Linked DNA regions of Struthio camelus. The protein of the gene in region 1 interacts with the protein of each later gene in a pairwise test. Links are inferred from orthologs where the notes say so. Each region holds a gene or a part of one and is shown on either strand. Other genes may lie near its edges.

Region 1 (7,080 bases):
TTTCAAGTTACTCTTAACACTACATACACAATAATCCACAAATTCCAAGATAAAAGAACGTTTGTAATAGCCAATCAGATCAAAACATATTTCACATATTTCTCCAAGCTGAGAAAGCTGAGGGAAAAAAAAAATTTGGAAAACAAGGATGAACAGAAGTAGTAAGTTCTCCATTTTCCGAACAGAACAAACCGTAGACACAGTCAGGCCTTCATTTCAAGACCAAGTGCCATCTCAGCAGCAGCCCCAGAACAGCCATCCTCACCTGCATCCACCTAACGCTCCTGGTGATTACGATAGCTCAATTTATTGCTGGAGAGAAGTGGATAAGCAGTAAATATAATAAATGGTTTATTTTGTGACAACTAGACTTGAAAATGAGGGTGGAAAGGTATGCAGTCAAAATGATGGTGCAACCAAGTGACACTGGGAAGCAGAGCTTTAGTGTAACAAAATTGGAAGAAAATTCTGGGCTACAAACTTTGACTTTCCTATCACAATTCTAGCTTCCAGTAAACTGATTACCTACAAATAAAAGGCTGATGTAAGTTCGCTCCTGAACACATTTTTATTGCTCACTGAAGTATTTCCTTCCCTTTCATCTCCAGGAGCCAGGGAACAAGAAGACCCTGAAGGCCATAAATGCTTGACTTGAAATATCTGACCTCCTGCCTAAACATATTTAAAATCATAGTACTTGCCAGAGTGTGCATCACCTGTGCAAGTTTCATCACCCGTCATAAAATGGCTTGGCTGGAATAACTACATAGCTTACTCATGGCAGCTCCTTGACTAGAGATGAGCAGAAACATGCCCCTCAGAAACAAGGCACTGGGAAAGAAAGCAGTGATACCCAAAACAGCAGAAATAGAGACTGAGAGAACACTACCTTTTCCTAGTGCCAGACAGGTTTTTACGCCCCTTTGCTACAACTTCTTGGAAACTCATCATATAGTAAAGGCAGTCACTCATCATTGTTCATTGCCTCACACCAAATTCCTGATATTCCCCAAAGCTTGACTGTCCCAAGAAAAAGTTCTTGACAAGGTTCACTTCTTCACTTGTTAAGTTTGACACAAACCAGAAGGAAACACACTCTCACAAACAACGGAAAGGCATGTTAAGAAATAGCTCCATGTTAATGAAAACAGCAACAAAACTCAAGCAACTGACAGCAGATGCGTCAGAACGAGACTCCACCCGAAAATCAGAGTCGGTTTGAACAGAACTGGAAGCATGCAGTAGGGACAGCAAGTCACCGAGAGGGACGCGGAGCACTGCCTCACCTTCCTCTTGTCCAATGAGGGTATGGCTACCCCATTGGAGCGGTTAAGGTCTGACACCAGCACCTTCAGAATGTTCTGAATCTAAAGGAGGCGAAAGAAAAGTGGAAAGAGAAATGGCTCAGAAAAGGACAGAGAGAAAATACCAATCAAAGGTAGCCACAGAAGCTGGCACCCTCCAGCTCGTTAGGAGGATACGCCTCAAAACAACAGCTCTGGACATACCCAGGGTTGCACTGTACCCCTGTACGATCAAACACTGCTTCGCCATAAACCCTGACGCTAGCGTGCGCCTTCAAGGGATTTTAGTCGCTAACCATTGTAGCTCACTTCATAAACTGGTAATACCAGCATCTCAGCCATTCATATGTTACACCGGCAAAACCCTCCTCCTCCTCCTGTAGTCAGGTCGTATGGGAAACCAAAGAACAACAAGGTGGCTAATGATTTGGGAGAAAGAATGGAATACTTACGTTCTCTGGAGACTGTTGGTCATCATTTGTGGGAGTCTCAGGTCTACTTCCTTCTTTAGTTTTTCTTTTTTTCTTGGCTCCCGCAGTTGCTCCAGGGCTATTCTTCTGCTGATATTCCTTCAGCTGGGGGGGGGGAGGGGGGAAAAAAAGAAGAATCTGAAGTCCACAAATGGAACGTGCCTTCTACAGCTACAAGGTCAACAAATAATGAAAAGAATAAAAAGATCACGGGGTAAAAAGGGAGATCAGGCATAGAGACATGAGCAACTGTCTTTGAAGAGTTTCTCTGAAAAAAGTTAGAACAAGTCGAGAAGGCTAAATTGAGAGCTGGTGCGATGGGTTTGGGGCCAGAGACTCAGGGTTGCAAACGCGCAGCTTTGCTATGCAACCAATGAAATTTGGCTATGGGAAGGAAAGAACGTGCCATCCTTTACTGCAACTGAAAGGAAATAAATAACTTTGATGACTTTTAGGGTTATAACCAAGAGCAATAAGGTGAAATTAATAAAAGGCAATTAATCCTGAATAGTAAGTGAAAAAGCAGCGCCTGAGAGCAAGCTCTGCCCTTCTGCCAAAGAGTTTGAGAAGGAAAAGGACAGGCCTCCCCGACAGACAACACGCCGACACAGACGCTGCAGCTCCGAACTGGGGGGACAAACGACATCATGGAGCAAACCAACGGCTCCGTTTATAAAAACGGGCTTGACTGTGCTCTCCGCGGCCGGATTTAAAACAGTTTCCATTTTCCCTAGGAAAAGCTAGACAGGTGAGCCCTAAACTGCACCTTTCTAAGCCTTTCCCTCAGTCTTTCAGTGCCGGTGTCTTTCAGACAGCGAAACCCCCGGCGGGAGCGAGCCCCCAGCACTCACGCAAACCACCCGCTTCTCCCCAGGGCGGCAGGCAGCGGCCGCGGGGCCCGAGGCCCGGGGCCGGGCCAGGCCAGGCCAGACCCGCCGCGCCGCGGGGCTCAAAATGGCAGCGCGCCCCGCTGCCGCCGGCCCCGCCGCACCCGGGGGCCGAGCCGAGCCGGGCCGGGCCGGGCCGGGCCTCAGCCCCCTCCGCGGCCGCCGCGAACGGGCAGCGCGGGGCAGCGCGCAGACGAGCCCGGCCGGCGCCCCGCCGCCCCGCTCCGCTCCCCGCGCCGCCTCCCTCCCTCCACGCCGGCCCCGCACCTTCTTCTTGGCCGCGGCCAGCTTGCTCTGCCTGCTGCCGTCCGCCATGTCCGAGCCGGGCCCGGGCCACGTCAGCCGGCGCAGGGCGAGCGGCGCAGGCGGCCGCCAGGCTCCGCCCCGGCCCCGCCGCCGCCGCCATCGCGCCCGGCCCGGCCCCCGCCGCAGGGCGGCCCCGGCCCCGAGCCGCCCAACGGGCCGCCTGCGGCAGTCGGGCCGCCGGAGAAGGGCCGGTCTCAGCGGGGCAAGCGTCCCTCCCCCTCTCTAGGCCCTGTCCTACAGAGCCGGCTGCCCTGCCTGCATCGCTTCGGTGCCTGATCCCCCCCCCCCCCCACCGCAGTTACGGCCAGTAAAGGGGGTTGTGTTTGGCCAGTAAAGGGGGTTGTGTTTTGCTGGTTTGTAGTCCCGTTCCCGCATCCTTTGACCTTCCGAGTCGGCAACAGCGGGATTTGGCCTGCGCGCTCGGCCAGGGAACGTAAAAGGCCCGTTGCCAGCGCTTGGCGCTGCACAGGGACGTCTGCCTTTGGCCAGCAGGGAAGGAAACTCTGCACCCAACCAAGGAGCAAGACAGGAATTGTCTCATTCTCCCCGGCTTCTCGGAGGAGGCGATTTATTTTCTCTGCCTTCTCGGAGGAGGTGAAGCAGATGATGGCTAGGGACGGACGCGCAGGTGGGGCGGCTGGACGCGGCCCAGGTTGCCAAGCCTGACGGTTTATATCTGACTCTTCTGAGTTTGATCCTGCTTCCCGCTGCTGCTGTTGGCGTCCTACCTGACCTCGGCCTGCTCGGGGTGCGGGGGGAATATCCAGCGGCGGGTTGGCAGGCGGGAGGTCTCGAAGCGCACCTTGGAGCGGTGGTGGCCTCCCAGCCAGCGCGTCCCTCCTCGCGGGGCCCAGCCGGGCACGACGCGCGCTGCCGCTGGTGGCACCGGCGGCGGCGGCTTTCTGCCTAGGAAAGTAGGGGCTGGAGGCAGGTCCCCGAGGGACCGCCGGCACCCGGCCTCGGGGAAACCTGCCGCTGGCGGCGCGGAAACAAGGCTGTGGCACCTGGAAGGCTCGAAGGCGTTTTCAGAAACACTCGGTGCCAACGGAAGAGCTCCCGGCTGGGCTTATTTGCCTGGTTATGTTCTGCCCCGCCGCCGATTTCACCTGTAGTTTCAGACGGGAAGATGCATTCCTCAGCGCCCGTCCGCAGCCTCGGGGACCGGGTCCCACCCCCGCGGGACTACAGCTCCCGGCGCGCCCCGCGGCGGCGCGACTACGGCTCCCGGCGCGCCCCGCGGCGGCGGGGTCCGCGCGGTGCTGGCGTGAGGCGGTGGCCCTGGCGGAGCAGCCGCCGCCGCCGCCGGGGGGGTCCCCGCCGGGCTCGGGGCGCAGCGGGAGCTGCCCGCCGCTCCGGCCTGTCCCGAAGAGGTAGGAGCTGGTTCCTGGCCCTGCCCGCCTCTCGGGTCCCCTCTCCCTCTCCCCCGGGGCTCCGGCCCGGCCCGGTTGCCCGGCCGCTGACGCGGCGCCTCCCTCTGCTTTGCCCAGGACCCCCGGTGGCGCCCGGCGGAGCGGCACAGCCGGTTTCAAGTCGCCGGTGAGTCCCCGTGCTGTTGCGGGGGGAGGCGCGGCCGCCCGGCGGCCCCCCCTCGGCGGTGGTGGTCCCCCCTCGGCGGTGACGTCCCCGCTGGGGCCTGCCGCCTCCTGCCGGCGCCTTTCCTCTCTCGGAGAGCGGGGTAAGGCGCGGGTTGCCGGGAGCTGCTTTTCCTTACGCGGGCTCTTCTCCCCGTCTGAAGAAACTCGGCAGCGTGCAGTGCCCTCCCTCAGCTCCAGGGGCAGCAGAGCAACCTTCCTGCCCGTTCTGTCCGTACGGCTTCATGTCTGCCTCAGAGAGATGACTTCTGCGGTGACAGTTCAGTTCCCGTGGCCTGTTGTAGTCACTGAAGTCTCAGCTGAAACAGCAGTTGGTCCCAGTGTTTGTGATGATTCACACTGGCGTAGCAATGGCTCTTTTTCCTGGAGAGTGAAATTGCCTGTTGCCTTAGTGCTTTATCAGGGTAAACGACATCTAAACTGCTCAACGGCATCTCTTGAGTAACTGGCAGCCTGGAGTTGTGTCAGTATGCAACACTGCATCATCCTGGGAACTTGTTTGAAAAGCCAGATTGTAATCTTTCCCTTAGCACTGTAAAAGTACAAAATGCTGTAGAATAAGATTTATTATAAAATAGAGCCGGCTGACATTAAATATATTGAGAAATACTTTACTTGAGTCTAGCCCCCTCCCTTTTTTTTCCCTTTTGTTTGCCCAGTGATGCTTAATGTATCTTCTGATCAGTTCCTTCTGGCACAATAGTATCTTATCCCATGCTGAGTGAGTGGAATGTTAAATGTGTTCTGTGCTCTGCAGATCCCATCTCCAAGGTCCTGCCAACCTAATGGAGCCAGTGAAGAAGCCCTGCAGTATGAAATTGAAGAGCTGAAACAGAAAGACCTCGCTCTAGACCAGGAAATTGCACAATTTTTGTCTGAGTATGTCCTTGGCAAGCTCAATGTTCAGTGTGAGGCCTCAGTATTTTTACTTTTAAAACTAAACGTGGCCCAGGAGTTAGAACTAAAAGCTGACCTGTTACATTGGTTGTTTTATCATATTGTTATGTAATGCTCATTACAATATTGTTTGAATTATGGGACCAGTTAAAGACAACAGGGAATTCTTTCCTGTTTATTTGGTAAAGCAAAGAAAGCGATATTACAGCTGAGACGAGAAGACTTTTGACTTAACCTCAGATGTTACTGTAAACTGGGAATGACTAATTTGAACCATCAGGATGTGTTACCAAAATTGCTTGCTCATATGGAATTGAAAATGGAGATCATGACTTTTGACCTGTTCAGATTAAACTGTTTCCCTTGTTCCATGTGGATGTGGTGCTCACTTGTTCTGTGTCTGAGGTGAGCTGTTGGAAGTATTGACCTTTGTGTTCAAGAAGCAGGGGTGTTTTCCTGACAAGCAAATGCCCTGCAGAACATTTTGGCTTAATGGGTGCCGCATACAGGATAGTGCAGCTGTTTTAGTGTGATTCCTTATGACACATTTTGGGATCACCAGGGTTTTCTCAAACTATTTTGGGATTTTTCAGACTGGTTTGAGAAAAAATTGCTGTGTGTGGTTTTTTTTTTTGGGGGGGGGGGGTTGTGTTGTGTGTTTGTTTAAGCGGGGGAACCTCTGTGGGTTATACGTAGTGAGTGGTATCTTCTAAAATAATGTGTATAGTGCCTAAAATGGATTGGGAAATCATAGAACAATGAATTCAATTCCAAAAGCTGCTGTTTCTTTTAAGCCTCAAGGGTAAACAGACCTTTAATTTGCTCACTATGTAGCAGCAGCAGTCATGCTGTCACACTGTGTCGTGATTTTTTTTTTTTTTTTTTTTTTTTAACCTTCCTGGATTTATTGTTACAGAGGCTACAGTCTGGAAGAACTGGAGAAACACATCTCCCTGCTCCATGAGTATAATGATATTAAAGATGCTGGACAGATGCTGTTAGGCAAGCTGGGTAAGGAAGGAGATGAACAGCTTCTTAGTAAATTTTTTCATCTAGATAGAAAGAGAAGCTGCTACGCTGTGAAGGCGTAGCTTATTTTAAAGATTCTGCAATTCTAGGCTTCTTACTAAAATCACTTGTGCAAGCACAAATGATTCTGTCATTATTTCTTTGGAATCTTTTGGGAACTGGACATATCCTGAGCAGCATATGAAATAATTGACACTTGCAGGTGTTTTATTATGTGTTACGGGTTATCAAAATTTGATTAATCTTATTACTTTCTTTTACCATTTCTTCACGTTTAAAAAAATGGGGCAAGCAGGAGGCATAGCTACAGAATTTTTGATTGTTTTCTTAGCTATGGGAGGTTCTAGGATAGTTAGGGGGTTAGTGAAAGCAAAATGCAACTCTTGTGGCTAACCTACTGTTCGTTTAATGAAAGTAATGGTGTGTGTTTCTTTTCTAGCTGTTATTCGAGGGGTTACCACAAAGCAGCTATACCCTGAATATGATCTGGAGCTTAGCGACTAGTATTGAACCTGAAGACTACAGTGTCCTGCAAAGATGCCTATTACTGGGCCGTTGGGTTTTGGTGTCATACCTATTTAAAAATGATAAAAGG
Region 2 (7,011 bases), on another chromosome or scaffold:
TGGAGGGACTATGGACAAACTCAGATAAGTTCCAAAGACTAAGTGTAAGGCACAACTGTGTTAAACTACTAATAGGTTGTGTGTGTTCTTTCTTTGATGAGCTTCTTTAAAGAAGCCTTTGGAAAGGGATAGCGGGAAAATTACCTTTACAATTTTTCACTGTGGAAGTTGAATGCTGTCCAGCTGTAGTGGTAGTTGGTATTAGCAGATGCATCAGTTTAACTATGCTAAGAGCAGTTGTGTCTATTCACTTGGGCCTGCTTCTGTTTTGCCTAACAGGAACAAGATGACTTAAAGTATCTGTAAAATTTCTATCTGCATATTAATCTAAAACAAGGATATCACTAGGTGTGTTCAGATTTAAAAAAAAAAGGGGGAGGGAAGAGGTGGGGGATGACAAACTTACAGGTGTATCAGTTGTATTAGCCCTATTTAATGCAGTGCATATAGACTAATAAATCGATGTCACTTTAAAAAATCCTTAACAATATTAGCGGTACTATCCTAGGTTATTTATATGTGACTTGATTGCTAAGGTACATACTTTTTGCTTGAGTATATGGTGTAGACTTTTCATATTTCTCCTAGTATGGCTTTACAAGTAGGTTAGTTTTACTTTTATTTGTTGTATCTTTTCAGCCTTCTATAAGCTGCCAGGACCTTTTAATACAATAAGTGGTAATACAAATGTGAAATGTTCTGTGATGCAAATGAAATCTGATTGAAAAATAAAAAAGTACTTCCAAAGGAGTTCATGTAATGGAATTGTATTTTAGTTTTTACAAAATCAAATTTGACTTGATATTATATTTCAAGAACAACAGGAGATCTCTGCTGGAATATGAATGGGCTGGGAGACCTAGATATCTGTTTGCTACTGCCAGAGTTAAACTAGTCTCTATTGTTCAGGCTTGAAAGATTGGCAGATACATCTCTATGCTGCACAAACATGTAGGATGGCACAGGTCCTATTCCATATGCTTTTACAACCTATTGTTTTTGCACGTAATTTATAAGGCTTAGGAAAAACAGAAGGAAAGAATGTGGGAGTAAGAAGCTGACATTAATGAACTGCATTCACACAGCTAATCTATATTCATAACATGACGTTTTGCAAATATAATTATTTTTCAAATCCTTGCACATTTTGCACAAAGATGTAAGGCAGGTACTTGTACCTTACAATGTATTGCATTACTGTTGTTCACTGTGTAAGAAGGATATTTGGCACATGCCGCAATGGATTATGGATTTGATTTATTTGAGTGGATGCTTGGAAAGTGTTGCTAGAGTAACAGAATTTGTGTGAAAAAAGTACTCATGAAAACACTTTAAAAATATGTGTACATAACTAAAACTTCTTGGACATAATGACCATAACCTTGATTCCCATGTTCACAAAGTCCACACCACCCCACTTAAGTACTTGACAATTGCATGAGATGTTTCTTAACTTTGCAGTCAAAAGGAAGGGGCGGAACTCGTTTACAAAGCAAATCGGGTTCCCTGAGCGCTTAAAATCTGGATATAAATCTTTTTTTGGCATATAATGACAAAATATCATCTTTGTAGTATCGTATGAAGGCTCATTGCATTGTTCACTGGCGCTGCACTTGATGAAATATTTATAATAAAAGTTTATGTATCCAACAAAAAAAAAAAACTTGTTCTGATCTTTAGTTAACAAAAGTCTTCCTGTTTAGCTCTGAAATGGTTGTCCTTCTCTGTACATGTGCATGCTGAGAGTCCAAACACATTGCCAGTGATACACTTTCTAGATAGCATTTACAGGTTTAGTTATTAAAACAGTTTTGTAACTTTTGTTGGAAAGGGGAGATCTTCATCTCAGAAGTGGAGATTATATGTTCATTATTAAATCGGTCTGGGAATAATACAGAAAGGGAAGTAACTGTTGCCTGAAATTTGAATTCTGGCTATATAGCCTGACAAAAGATGTTTAAAAACGCTATTCATCTCGGACTTCATGGCATTATCTGTGTGAATTCACTTGTTTCATAATTCCTTACTTTTCATAATTCCTTACTTTCCTCCTTTTCTTCATAGGACAGCAAAGCTACTTACTCCATCATGCATCGTACTGCTCCTAGTTGCTTGTGCTCTTGTGACCTCTCCAGTGAAGCCAGAGGAGCAATAGCAGAGCAGTGTCGTATCTCTCCTTAGATGGACTCTGTCTGGAAGTATGTACGACAGGTATTTCGTGGCTCCCTCTCCTCCTAGAGTGGGCCTGCATGAAAGGATCTGACCAGCGTAGTATTTAGATGGTACTACAGATCTACATTCTCATGTGGTCTCCCCAATTTTCTTCTCTTTTCACCTCGCCTTTTTTCCCTCTGTATCTTGTGAGGACAAGTGGCACAAGGGCAATTATTTTTTCAGATTCAGGAGTCACTTTCCTGTCATGTATTGGATGCACAGCAAACCTTTTATTTCTTCAGTTAAAGTGAATGGACTTGGTTCTTTGCACATGTTCAACAGGCTGAATTTAGTAATAACACCAGAGGAACTGTGGATGTCATGTCTATGTAAAATAAGTTGCAAGAAAAATGAATTGGGTTTGGTATTTTGAAGAAAAAATGAGTTTTATATAGAACAACATCTTGCCTTTGACTCAAGAGAAAGGAAAATAATAAGCAAAAGTTGAAGACTAATACTGTCCAGAGAAACAGTATTAAGAATAGTTAAAATAGAAAATGAAAAATACCCCTAAATTGTTCCCAGGTTCTACAAGATCCTTTACTTGCCTTTTTCGTACTGAAGAACTGAGTTTTGTTCTTGAGAGAAGATTAATGCTTCTTATGAAAAGTGCCACTGTTAATTGGCCAGCTGCGCAATTATTTGTCATAAGTACCTGAACACCTGCTTTAAAATTAGTGTAAAGACAGTCTTTAAAATTACAAAAATGCTGTGGATTTCAGGATAAATTCCAAGAAATAAGAATGTTTCTTGTCTCTGTTGTTTTTGTTCTTACTTTCCTTAGATCTTTTGTCACATGGATGTATGGTAGTGTCACTGAGGAAAGTTGCTGCCAGCTGACCATTACCTTATTGTAAGAAAATATGAGGTCATAGCACCTCAGTGGGAGAACCTAGTACGTTTAATCATGGAAAATGGTTTGGCCAGGCCTGGAGTTCCTGGGCTCAGTTTTGATATTCTAAAGATAGTGGCTACCTGTGATGCTAAGTTAAGGAGTTAATTTACTTCAACAGAGATGTAACACCCTGCTTTGAGCCTCTCTGTTTTCAGCAGCCTGCCTAATAGAGGACTGAATTATATGTTGATATCGATTCTCTTGCTTTTGAAGTCAGGTGAGGAAAACCAGTGGTAACAAAGGAAGGATTAAAGAAGAACAGTGTTTGTAAATCTTCTGGCCTTCCATAATTAGTAATATAGGAAACTGAATGCATTTTTCTTTCAATTTTTTTAGAAGTCGCAATACAAGCATTCCAAAAATTAATACATCATATGTATTATTTTATTTCCTTCTTGTACCACTGTCTACAGCTTGGCACACTGTGAAGTTATTCCTGGCATTCCTTCCTCATCGGTTTTGATCATTTTGTGGGTTTTTTTTTCCTCCTTACAAAGATGTCTATCTGCTGTGGGCTGTTTTTATTTTAGATAAACTAATCTGAACCTAATGGAGCAGACTTGGACTTCAGAGACTTGTATTTTCTCTTAACTAACTTTTCTGTGTGTCACCAGTTCTGTGCTCCTGTTCTGCGCTCAGTAGATTGAATAATGATACTTGGTCTCATGTTTTTTAAGGGGGAAAGGTGAAGTCCACAGATACCAAATGTTATGTTAGTGCTGCTTGTCACTATGTAAAAATTTTTCCTAGTGGATGGAGAAGAAAATAGGGAATAATTTCTGTTTCCCCCCACCATGCAAACTGAAGCTGAGCTTTCTTGCCTCCTTTCCCTGGTTCCTTTCCCTGTTAATTGGCTGTTTGGCAGTATTTGGCAACATGGACTGTGGATTGCACTGCAACATGCAATCTGCAAAGAGTATAGCAAATGCAAAGCCAGGCAGGAGCGCTGTCTCTGCCCGGCTGCCCCACTATTGTAATGCAGTCTTTGGTTTTAATCTTGGTGCAGGCTTAATGGTCTTTCATTAGGATTTGCAGCATTGAGGGAGGATGTTTGTGCATGAAAACGAGTTTTATCTGACTGTACCTGTGGCATGAATGAAAGATACCATCTTTACTTGTGAACTTTGTATTGTTTGATTATCAGGTTGCATGCTCCTTTGCCTGAAGGACTTCAACTTTGTTCTTTTGCAGGACACTGGCAAACTGGCAGACTGTGGCAAACTGGGACTGGACCACATCTCCTGCATCACTTGTTTTCTGCTGCTGAACGTGAAGGCGATGGGAATTGAGGTGGGAGAGTGCAGAGGAGGACCGCAGCCATGAGTGTGCCTACACGGCAGAGCTGGATTTTGCGGCTTTTTCTGTCCCCGGTTGTGCGCCCAGTGGGGCCGGCTGCTCGCAGGGCTGAGCTGGGAAAGCGCAGGCGGGCGCGGCCAGCGCTGCCCCGCGCCCCGGCTCGTGCCGCCGGGCGGGGCGGGGCCGGGCGGGGCCGGGCGGGGGGGGTGCCCGGCCGGGGCCGCTGCCTGCTGCCGCCATGGAGGCGCTGGGGGTGAGCGCCCGGCGGGGCGGGGGGCGGCGGCGCGGCCCCCGCGCGGGTGAGCGGCGGGCTGCCCCCACTCGACTGCCGCGGCTGCTCTTCTTTTGAAGGTTGCCTCCGTGGCCATCGCCGTGGTCGTGATAGCTGCGTCCGCCTTGCTGCTCCTGGCCAGAGGGGCAGGGCGGGGGAGGAAGAGCCCCGTCACCTTGCAGGACCCGCACGCGAAGTACCCGCTGCCGCTGCTGGAGAAAGAGGTGCCCGAGCGCCCGGTGCTGCCCTGCGCAGCCCTGCCACGGGGCGATGGGGGCGTCGGCCCCGCGGCCAGCCGTCGCCCCGGTGGGGCGGCCGGGACGGGGCCGGGGGCGGTTGGTCGGACCGTGGGGCCGGGGACGGGGGAGGGGGGCGGTTGGTCGGACCGTTGGCCGAGGACGGGGGCGGTTGGTCGGACCGTTGGCTGGGGACGGGGGAGGGGGGCGGTTGGTCGGACCGTGGGGCGGGGGAGGGGGCGGTTGGTCGGACCGTTGGCTGGGGACGGGGCCGGGGGCGGTTGGTCGGACCGTGGGGCGGGGGAGGGGGCGGTTGGTCGGACCGTGGGGCCGGGGACGGGGGAGGGGGGCGGTTGGTCGGACCGTTGGGCGGGGGAGAGGGGCGGTTGGTCGGACCGTTGGCTGGGGACGGGGGAGGGGGGCGGTTGGTCGGACCGTTGGCCGAGGACGGGGGCGGTTGGTCGGACCGTTGGCTGGGGACGGGGGAGGGGGGCGGTTGGTCGGACCGTGGGGCCTGGGAGGGGGGCGGTTGGTCGGACCGGTGGCTGGGGACGGGGCCGGGGGCGGTTGGTCGGACCGTGGGGCCGGGGAGGGGGCGGTTGGTCGGACCGTGGGGCCGGGGAGGGGGGCGGTTGGTTGGACCGGTGGCTCGGGGACGAGGGGAGAGGGAAGGGCGGTTGGTCGGACCGTTGGCCCGAGGGGGCAGGCAGTTGGTCACAGGCTCTCCTAGGTTTGGGGGACAGAGAAACATGCCTTGCCCTCAAAGGGCAGCAGTGACTGCCCACAGCCAGGGTGAGGTGTTACTCCGGAGTAGAGCAGGGTTCCTGAAAGCATTTATGTTTCTGCTGTAGTTCTGTAGTTACCTCAGAAAAAGGGTGGATTGATTTTTCTGTGTGTTTAAATCGTAATTTGGAGCTGTGTTTCTGCCTTGGTTCCTGTCTGACGTGCTCGGTGGGAAATGACCCCAGCAGCCTGCGTTTCTGCATGTTGTATCTTGCCTTGGCTGCAAAACGTGAAATGTGCTTAATGGCCTCGGGTGATAGAGGATTTACATACTTTTCTTACCTAAAGATGCTATAGGGGTTGCAGAATCAGGAGAAAGTCGCTCCTTGTTAAAGTGAAAAGACTGGGGCTCTAAAACTTCTTATCTGCTTAACCTTTGTTTTCAAGGCCGTTTCTGCATCGTTCCCTCGCATACTAACACCGAACAGGCTCACCAAAGCATAACGTGTTGGTTTCGAGATTGATTTTGATGGTGACCTCGTTCTATGTCTCCTTGTTTTTTCATTAGGAAATTAGTCACGATACTAAGAAATTCCGGTTTGGGCTACCTTCATTGGATAATGTATTAGGATTGCCTGTAGGTAAATACTGAAACATGTCTCTACTTTTATTGGTGATTTTAGGATTTATTACCTCTTTTCGTAGCTCTAGGTCTTCTAATTTTCTTTCCAAAGAAGATGGGAATTTAGTGCTCAGCAAAGAAAGGAGTTAAAAACTTGTGTGTCAGCAAGACATGTTAGCTTTCCTTGTGGGGTCATGTTTCTTACCTTTTGTGTGCACTTTATTATTGTGCTAAGTAGTATAGTATAGTTTTAGAATGAGAATAGTGAAACTGAACTGGGACCTGAATTACCTATTAGATAGGTAATAGATTACCTACAGGATGGGATCTGTCTGGGTTTTTAATGCTTCTTATTTGCATTCTATTTTTTTGTATCTGGTGCCCTCAATTGGGTTTGTACTTTATCTACAGTAATTATAATAGCTAGCTAGCAGACGCTTACAGTAGTATAGCTGTAATACAAAGGAGACCTGAGGAGGTTGCCCAAAACGTACTCTTACGGATTGTCCTTGCTGCTCCCATGGTGCTGGCAGTGCTCAGAGTAGCTGGTTGGATGCTGGTCATGGATATATTATTGTCAGCTGTACTCGAGCTTTTAACTAATACAGTTGCACCCTTAGATGAGAAAGAGCAACTCTTCTGCCTTAGAAGCTTGTAAATAATGTATGCAGAGCAATGGGGAAAATATGATTACTCTACGTAAAAGATGCTGCAATGTTCAGAGCATTTTCTATGCATGCATTTACCTTTGTTT
Region 3 (7,565 bases), on another chromosome or scaffold:
TGTGCAGGCAGTAAAACTACCCTGGAGCTGCTTGTGTGCCAAGCTAGGAAAATGGGGCAGGGATGGGGTTGACCTGATACGGGGTTTTTGCTTGTTCTTTCCACAAAGGCCAGTAGCAGCCGCACTCTGCCACTGCTCCAATTTGTGGTCATGTTCTAACTCATTTGATCTGCAAGGTTTGAAAGGAATAGGTGGTGCACACAAGGGACTGGGAAACGTTCATTCTTCTTTGTGGTTCTTGCTAAGGCTCCACCAATGGTGAATAAATCAGGGCTAGGAATAAACATTTGTGAGCAACAGCTATTCTGTTAATTGTTTTTGTCTGGGTGAATACTCACTCAAGTTACAGCATGATCAAAACTTGTCATCAGGAGAAGCTTGCACTTATATATGATTCATGCTGATAAAACCGTAAATCCTCTAGGCTTAGCAGCAGTAGAAAAAACACTTGACAATACAGGAACTAAAGCATGGAACTCATAAGAATGACACAAGTACTCGGAAAGAGAAAGCAAAGAATATCATTTGAATCTTAAAGGCTTCTGTGCCCAGTTATGCTTGCCTCTTTACAGGCAAGATGTTCTAGGTCCATCCAACCACAGGAAGAAGGCTCTGGCCAGCTTTGGTTCCTCAGGGAGCAACCGTTAACCTGTTCTTGACGGAATGGGATAAGAGGAACTGGACAACCCGACAGACACTAGACACAGCAGTTATGAAGGTTAGGCAGATGCTGTGAAGTTGTTCACAGCTGACATCAAAATGCAAGAACCAACGAGCATGAAGTAAACTGCAGACTTAGCAAGCCCTGCAGAAATTTCTTTAAGAGAGACTGGCTGAGACATGGAGCAACCTCCTATCTGTTTTCAATAAGGCTGCAAGGTGAGATTGACACCGCAAACAAAGACCAAAAATTGTGCAAAAGAAGACAGATAAACCACTAGATAAGAAGCTATTCCAACCTGCCTCCTCCAGCCTTATGAGTTAAACCTTTCTAGCACTGTTGAAAGAGTTAAATTCTTCTGAATTAAGGGTCATTGAAGAATTCCCAACGTCAGGTTCTTATATTCGCCTGTTCACTACACTATCAAAGCACTGACTTCGGGATTCTGACTGGGATTTTGCACTGGGTGCACTTCCAGTTTCTGCGGTGGACCTGCTATGTGACTAGAGTCAAATTGTTTTACTGCTTTTTTGTTGATCTCTTTAAAGCAAACAAAGGCGGAAGGCTTTTCCTTAGAGTGAGCACTGTTTCCCGTACCTGGCTCATCTTGTTAGATGTCCAGCTTCTGAATGTATTGTACTAACACTTCAAGAGGAATTATAATGTTTTGCATTTACACAGGTTTTTTTAATCTAAGCTTCAAAAGTCTCTTTCCACAGGTGCGACTCAATACTATTATCTCAATTTAAAAAAAGAAAAGAAAAAAAAGCACAAGCTCACTTCAAGTAGCTAAGATGTCAGTTTTGGAAAGTAACCACTGACTTGAGCAGCCGCTGATCTGACCGCCTACATTCTGGAGATCCTGAATGTGAGCAGCGCCCCACCTTTCTGCCTGTGGATGTCACTAATCAAACACTGTCCAAACTTGAGCCCATTTTTCTGAAAACTTGAGAATAGAGGGCTTTGATTCAGGTCCTGCTGAAAGTCAGTGTTGCAACCAGGGGTAGAAACCAGGTTCTCTGTCCTCCGATCTACAGTCTGCTGCACAACACCAGTGCTATGCTACTGTATCCCGGTATTAGAACAACAGTACAATTGCAGCAGAAGGCAAGCAGTATCAGTTCTCCACTAAACGCTTCCTATCCGCCACCCTTGCATCCCAGAATAACACTGCAGCAGTGCTTTTGGGAGAGACTGCAGACTGGGGAACAAAAGTCACTGTGTGATATTGAGGTTCCTTGGAAAGACTGACGGGAATGTGCAATATAAAAAGACCATTACCTCTTTTCCCGCTTTCTCAATCTCCACTGTCACTGTGCTGTGGTTCTTGTGCTCCTGGAACATGCAGAGGTAGCAGATGCACATCTGGTCTGTCTGACAGAACAGCTCCATGGTCTTTCCATGCACGGGGCATTTTCTTGCTTCAAAGTCCTTGATGGGGTCCAGGAGCTGGTGGTCCCGGAAAGCTGCTCCCTCCAGATGAGGTTTGAGGTGCAGCTCACAGAAGGAAGCCTGGCACACCAAGCAGGACTTCACGGCTTTTTGCTTGTTATCGATGCAGGAATCACACAAAACATCCTCCAGCTTCACCCTGGGCCGTGACCCAGCAGCTCTGTCAGGCTTGTTGAAGGTGGATCTTCTGAGGTCTCCTGTCTCTACCAGAGGGAGGGAAGTTTTCTTGAAGTCCCCAATCTGCCCACCAGTGAATAACGACTTCCTCCCCTCCCCGTCACTAGGCAGGAAGCTCTTTTTGGAATCCACGGAGAAGAGGGGTTTCCTGAGATCACCTTTATCGGTAAAGGAGAGGGGGGGTCTCCTCATGTCTCCTATCTGTCCACTGGCATATTGCGTCTTCTTTGAATCCCCCGAATCCATGCTGAAGTAGGTCGATCTCTTCTCATCAGATGACTCCACAAACTGGATGATGGGCCTCTTCCAGTCACTCCCGGAGAAGAGGGAGCTCTTGATTTGCCCCGTCTCCAGAGAAGCACTGCCAGTGCCCTTCATAGGTTCCTTCTCACCTCCACCCAGGTTCATGGTCTTCTTCACTTCTTCTTCTTTTTTGGGGGCGGATGGACTCTTCACATCCTCTGGCTTCCCAGTGGTACCATTTGTCCTTGCTGCAGTCCCCGTTTCCATTGTGTAAACCAGGCAAATTGGCTTCACTGCTCGGTCTTTTCTCTGATTTCTCGTCTCTCAAACCTCTACAAAGCGGGTATGTCTGACCGGTTGTTGTCTCAGCAAGGAACGAAGGTGGAACGCAGGAAAGTTTCTGCCCAAGTGACGCACCTTGAGCTCCTGCAAGGAGGAGGAGAATGCCTGAATTATGCTAGGTAGAGGCAGAGAGAAGAAACAGACTATACTAGGGATTAGAAGCTGCAGCTGTGCAGTTAATTATACAAGGCGGTCCACACCCAGGAACATTCTTGTCTAACCAGGTTTGGGAGGAAGGGCTGTTTATATCCTTAGAAATGTTTAAAAAAAAATCATTTTCATTTAAGATGTAGCAACCAGTTCTACCGCTTGTTTCAAAAATAATTTTGCTCATTGTTGCCAGGAGCTGAGGTTGCCTCCTTGCAGAGATGGGCAGGGTTGGAGAGACCATGAGATGCCGAAGATGGGTTTGTTAACTGGGTCATACACATGCGCAAAAGTAGTTATGGCTGTAATTAAAATGAACGGCTAGAATAAAAGCATTCTTAAACTGGGTTCCCTTGAGGGCTTACTCTGTTCAGTAGCACAGGGAGGGGAAAGGTATGGATAATACTGTGTTTAAAAGACCCTATTATTTTGATTTTGATGTTGGCTTTCTGCAAGATCCCTCAGTGGAACTAGAAATAGACTATCCATGCATCAGATCAACACGGTTGATCTGAAGCAAAAGTTGACTAGCATCTTCTTTTTCCCACCTGCCGCAGGTTCCCTGCTAACGTGACTAGCAGAGGTAACCCCCAATGCCTATTGCACTGCGTTCTTCCTGTGCAGTAAGGATTCGGGTGTGCCTTCTTCAGCTCTTTCCAGAAACGTCCATTGAACTGAGAAATCTGTTGTAATATACCTGGAAGATGAAATATTTTACAGCTAGATGGCCAAAATATTTCTTGCAAGAAGGAGGAACTGTAAAAGAGTTTTAAAAATAGGTCTTGCTCTCTGCACTAGTTGTATTCCTTGGAAATCTTCACCTTCTTGTCCAAAAAAAAAATACATTCAGCGTGAAATAAAACAACTTAGTTGGTTTTCCTTCTTTTCTTCCCTGCCTTTCCTTTAATCTCTCACCTCTATGACTGGCAAAGGGAGGGTACAGTGAAAGGCACATGCGGCAAAATTATTTCATGAAATGTTCCTTTCATTAAAAAAAGAAAATACACACCCCAAAATGGCTGTTTTTCAACTAACTGGAATCACAGAATGTTTCAGAACAAAAAGGTTCCCTATAAGCACTGCTGAATTCCAACAACTTCAGAAGAAAGAGGTTGAGCCTCCACTCATATCATATATCAATTAAACATAGATTATATACTGAAATTCAGTGCAATTGCTAACGATGCCAAAGATCTGTGCTTGATTTCTTCTTCTTAGAATGCAATGGTGTTACTGTTGGACAAAGATTTTTACACTGTAATGATTTCTCAAAAACACGCAACAGAGCTCCTATTGGAAGTGTCCTAAGCAATGGGGGAACAATCTGGGTCTGCGCTTTGCAGCTTTTGCTTAGGTGTGGAGGAAATAGAAGTGCAGCCCAAAACGGGAAAAGTATACATTTTGGATCTGATGTGAAAATGAGGTACCCATGAAGCGCCTGTCTTACAGATATGGTATGAAAGGATTTTGTCCATGCAAAATGAGAGAAAAGGAAATAGAGAAAATATCTGCCTTTAAAAGGAATCTGATTGGAATCCCTGGCCTATAGGTCAGCCCCTCTTACTGCCTGTGTGTAGATATGGCTCTCTGCATGTGAGAAATAATTCAGTATATAGTATTTTTTGGAAAAGTGGTGTTGGGAAATACCCCCTTTTGCAGTCATTTCTAATTGCCAGTTTTATGAATGTGGGACCGCAGTGGTCCCACACTGTGTTTCTTGACTCAGAAAGCATTCCTTGGCTGAGGAAAGGGCAATGCTATTTTTTTAAAAAAGAATCTCAGAAGAAAAATATTAGCGGATATATATATATATATATATATATGTATTTCGTTCTCCTGGTTTTCTGTGCTGAGCTGATCTTTCATAACATCAGCAGTCCTATAGATCTCCAGGTAATTAAAAATACTGGAGGGCGGAGGTGCCTGATCTCATGTGTACGGAAAAGACTCAGCAGAGCTTTTTCATGCTAGCGTTAATATTTAAGAAACAAAAATGTATGCATGAAGAAGTCTAATGTGGAAGAAGGAAGCTTTGATTTCTCTTGCTTTCCTGACAGGTTGCTAAGATTTTGGACTAGGTAAGGCAGTCAAAAGATTAAGGACTGAGTTCCTTCATCCTGGTTTTACTGACTCAAATTCAGAGTAGTTGAGTTTAATGCACTTCTCCCAGACAGACTCATGAGTAACTGAGCTCAGAATCCAGATTATTGCAGAATCTTCTGCCCATGCAAAGGTGCACACATGATTCTCATTACAAGACTGGGCACTCCAGTAAGTCAGGTTATGGCTGCGCTATGCCTGGCATACCCTGATGTCAGCCCCTGCTTCAGCTCCTCCGTTTGTTGCAATGCTGGTGAGGTGTTGCCATACCTGAGACGTAAGACAGTGTAATTCCTGTCATCTAATGCTGTTCAGATCAGATTTAGATAGACTGTTGTCAGCCCTCCTGATGGTCAGTGTTTTTCATAAAGCCTCAGGTCGAGGATTTGCTTTTGGGTAGCTTGGGTGGTATCTGTCCTTGCCGCTTAATTTGGAGGATCTTCAGCTCAGATTCGCTGTGTCAGACAGGAGGAGGGAGGCCGTGTGCAGGTATACAGACTAGTGGAGACGCTCTTGTTCATCCCTGCGCAAGGAAAGAAAACAGACCTATCTGACAGCCAGTAGCAACAGGGAAGTGCCACCTGGATTTCTCGAGGAGGACAGTGCCTGGAGTCTGTCTGCCGGTTTCCTGGGCTGAATTTCCCTTGAGTTTGCAGAAAGCAAGCAAGGATGTCACTTGTGTACATCAGGAACATCACCCGCTGCTGCCAGTCACTGCTGCGTAATACCACTTTCACTGGTCCCCTTTCAACCTCAGCTCGCTCTCGCAGGATCCCACACGCCTGGCGTGAAAGCCTCGGGTGCTTCCTGCTTGCAAGGAAACCGTGGCAGGCTCAGGTGTGACCAGTGAGCGCTAAGTACATCGCCACCGCTGCCCGGCAGCCTGGCAATGCAACTTGGCTCCATAGCCAAAGGCTGAGCGTGCTCTTTTGCCCATCACCTCTCTGCACCTCGTGAAAGCTCATAGATTTGTTTCATGCCAAAACGTTGCTTGCGGATGGGACCCACCTGCCACTTGTTATTTGCAGCCTCTCCTGGGAAATCAACTGTTCATACTGGTCTGAAACTTGAGATGCGTGCAGTCTTTAGTGGGGTTGTTCACAGCCACCACCAATGCTGGCGAATTCGGCTGGACAGCTTGCCCTGGAAGGCTCAGAAGGGCTCATGGGGTTGAAGGGTAGTTTGCTAGTTAGTTAAAGGGCGTTAGACAAGCTGTATCTCAGTCCCCAGACATATTTAGAAGACTTCCACTCACATACATGTTTAACTTCTAAATTGCCTGAAAGTGCAGCTTAGACTGGACTTCTTCTTAATGCAGGCTTTATCTTCCACTTACCGGAGGGTGACTCTTGATTTCTGTAGCATGAGTTCACACCTGTGTAAGCATCGCCTGTGGTTTTTGCACCAGCCATCCCTACGTTTTCTGCAGAGGACAGCCATCTCCTATCTAGTGCACTGCGTTGGGCTGATCACACAATATGCCCGTGTCTATACCTCTGACTCAGAGTATACACCCATGTTTGGCATTTACAGTGTCTTTCATCTGAAAAACTCAGAGCGTTTTTCAAAGGTTCACAAATTAAATTTGACAACACCTTTGCAAAATAAGTCTGGGTTGCTAACCTCATGTAGCAATTAGGGAAACTGAGGCACACATTGTGGCACTGGCAGAAATTTGTCAAGTAAAAGGAAACTTGCTTATAAAATTGCTCTCTGACTTTTTGCTGGCTCATTCTTTTCCTATTATTTTTCATGCATGTGACACCCTTAACTCCTTAATGCTTTTTGAACATCTGCTTTTATTTTGATTTTCAGCTTCATTTTTTTCACCATCAGTTCTGATTCACCCTTAAATTCAGGTAGTTTACTGCCTGTACAAAAGGGTTTCCAATGTGCAAGGCTGATACCTAAAAAAAAATTTCCCTAGGACTGAGAAAGTGGAAAAAATTGGGTTCATTTCAAACTAGATAGAACAGAAACAGTTAAGCCAACCCTGGGGCACTCCTTTAGACAGGTTTTGGAGCAGATTTTCAAACACCGATGACAGATTAAGTCATTGAGAGTCATTGAGAATAAGATCAACCAGCCCGTGATTCACTGACCCTGGTTCTCAGAGCAGCTCTGACAAAACTAGGAGCAGGGAACCTGCCTGCTAGTTGCCTGCCCTCTGCTTTACCCACTGATCGACGCTCCCTTTCACGTTCTGTATATTTTCTGTCCTTTGTATCTTATGCCTTTGTATAAAGTAAGTTTACAACTCAGAAAATGTTGTGGTGAAATATATGCAGGCTATTCCTGCTACAAGAAAGAGCACGGGAGATGAATCTATCAAGCGTGTAGACACCACTGAGCAATGCCCATGCATTATATAGTTCCCAGTGTAACAGCAGAGCAGGCAGAACGAGTTCAAGGCTTTGTGCTGCTTTCACACGTATCAGATGCA

The links.
Region 2: the proteins of GOLGA2 (region 1) and CYB5R2 interact in binary tests that used the Homo sapiens proteins (3 or more experiments, as listed by UniProt). The two-hybrid records come from large-scale screens. The link is inferred for Struthio camelus from reciprocal best matches to the Homo sapiens genes GOLGA2 and CYB5R2.
Region 3: the proteins of GOLGA2 (region 1) and TRIM29 interact in binary tests that used the Homo sapiens proteins (3 or more experiments, as listed by UniProt). The two-hybrid records come from large-scale screens. The link is inferred for Struthio camelus from reciprocal best matches to the Homo sapiens genes GOLGA2 and TRIM29.

The regions. Positions count from the first base shown.
Region 1 is NC_090961.1:7,531,737-7,538,816, forward strand, and holds the start of GOLGA2 (golgin subfamily A member 2), read right to left. Parts: upstream 3,023-7,080; 5' UTR 2,977-3,022; coding exon 2,929-2,976; intron 1,880-2,928; coding exon 1,757-1,879; intron 1,368-1,756; coding exon 1,287-1,367; intron 1-1,286. Other genes in the region: DNA repair protein SWI5 homolog, read left to right, coding at 4,048-4,337, 4,455-4,503, 5,317-5,438, 6,373-6,467, 6,925-6,989. UniProt on the Homo sapiens protein: Peripheral membrane component of the cis-Golgi stack that acts as a membrane skeleton that maintains the structure of the Golgi apparatus, and as a vesicle thether that facilitates vesicle fusion to the Golgi membrane.
Region 2 is NC_090946.1:25,746,456-25,753,466, forward strand, and holds the start of CYB5R2 (NADH-cytochrome b5 reductase 2), read left to right. Parts: upstream 1-4,006; 5' UTR 4,007-4,034; coding exon 4,035-4,082; intron 4,083-4,229; exon of another isoform or gene 4,230-4,258; coding exon of another isoform or gene 4,259-4,300; coding exon 4,301-4,399; intron 4,400-4,592; exon of another isoform or gene 4,593-4,643; coding exon of another isoform or gene 4,644-4,658; intron 4,659-4,756; coding exon 4,757-4,900; intron 4,901-6,203; coding exon 6,204-6,276; intron 6,277-7,011. UniProt on the Homo sapiens protein: NADH-cytochrome b5 reductases are involved in desaturation and elongation of fatty acids, cholesterol biosynthesis, drug metabolism, and, in erythrocyte, methemoglobin reduction.
Region 3 is NC_090963.1:3,724,190-3,731,754, forward strand, and holds the start of TRIM29 (tripartite motif-containing protein 29), read right to left. Parts: upstream 3,006-7,565; 5' UTR 2,801-3,005; coding exon 1,943-2,800; intron 1-1,942.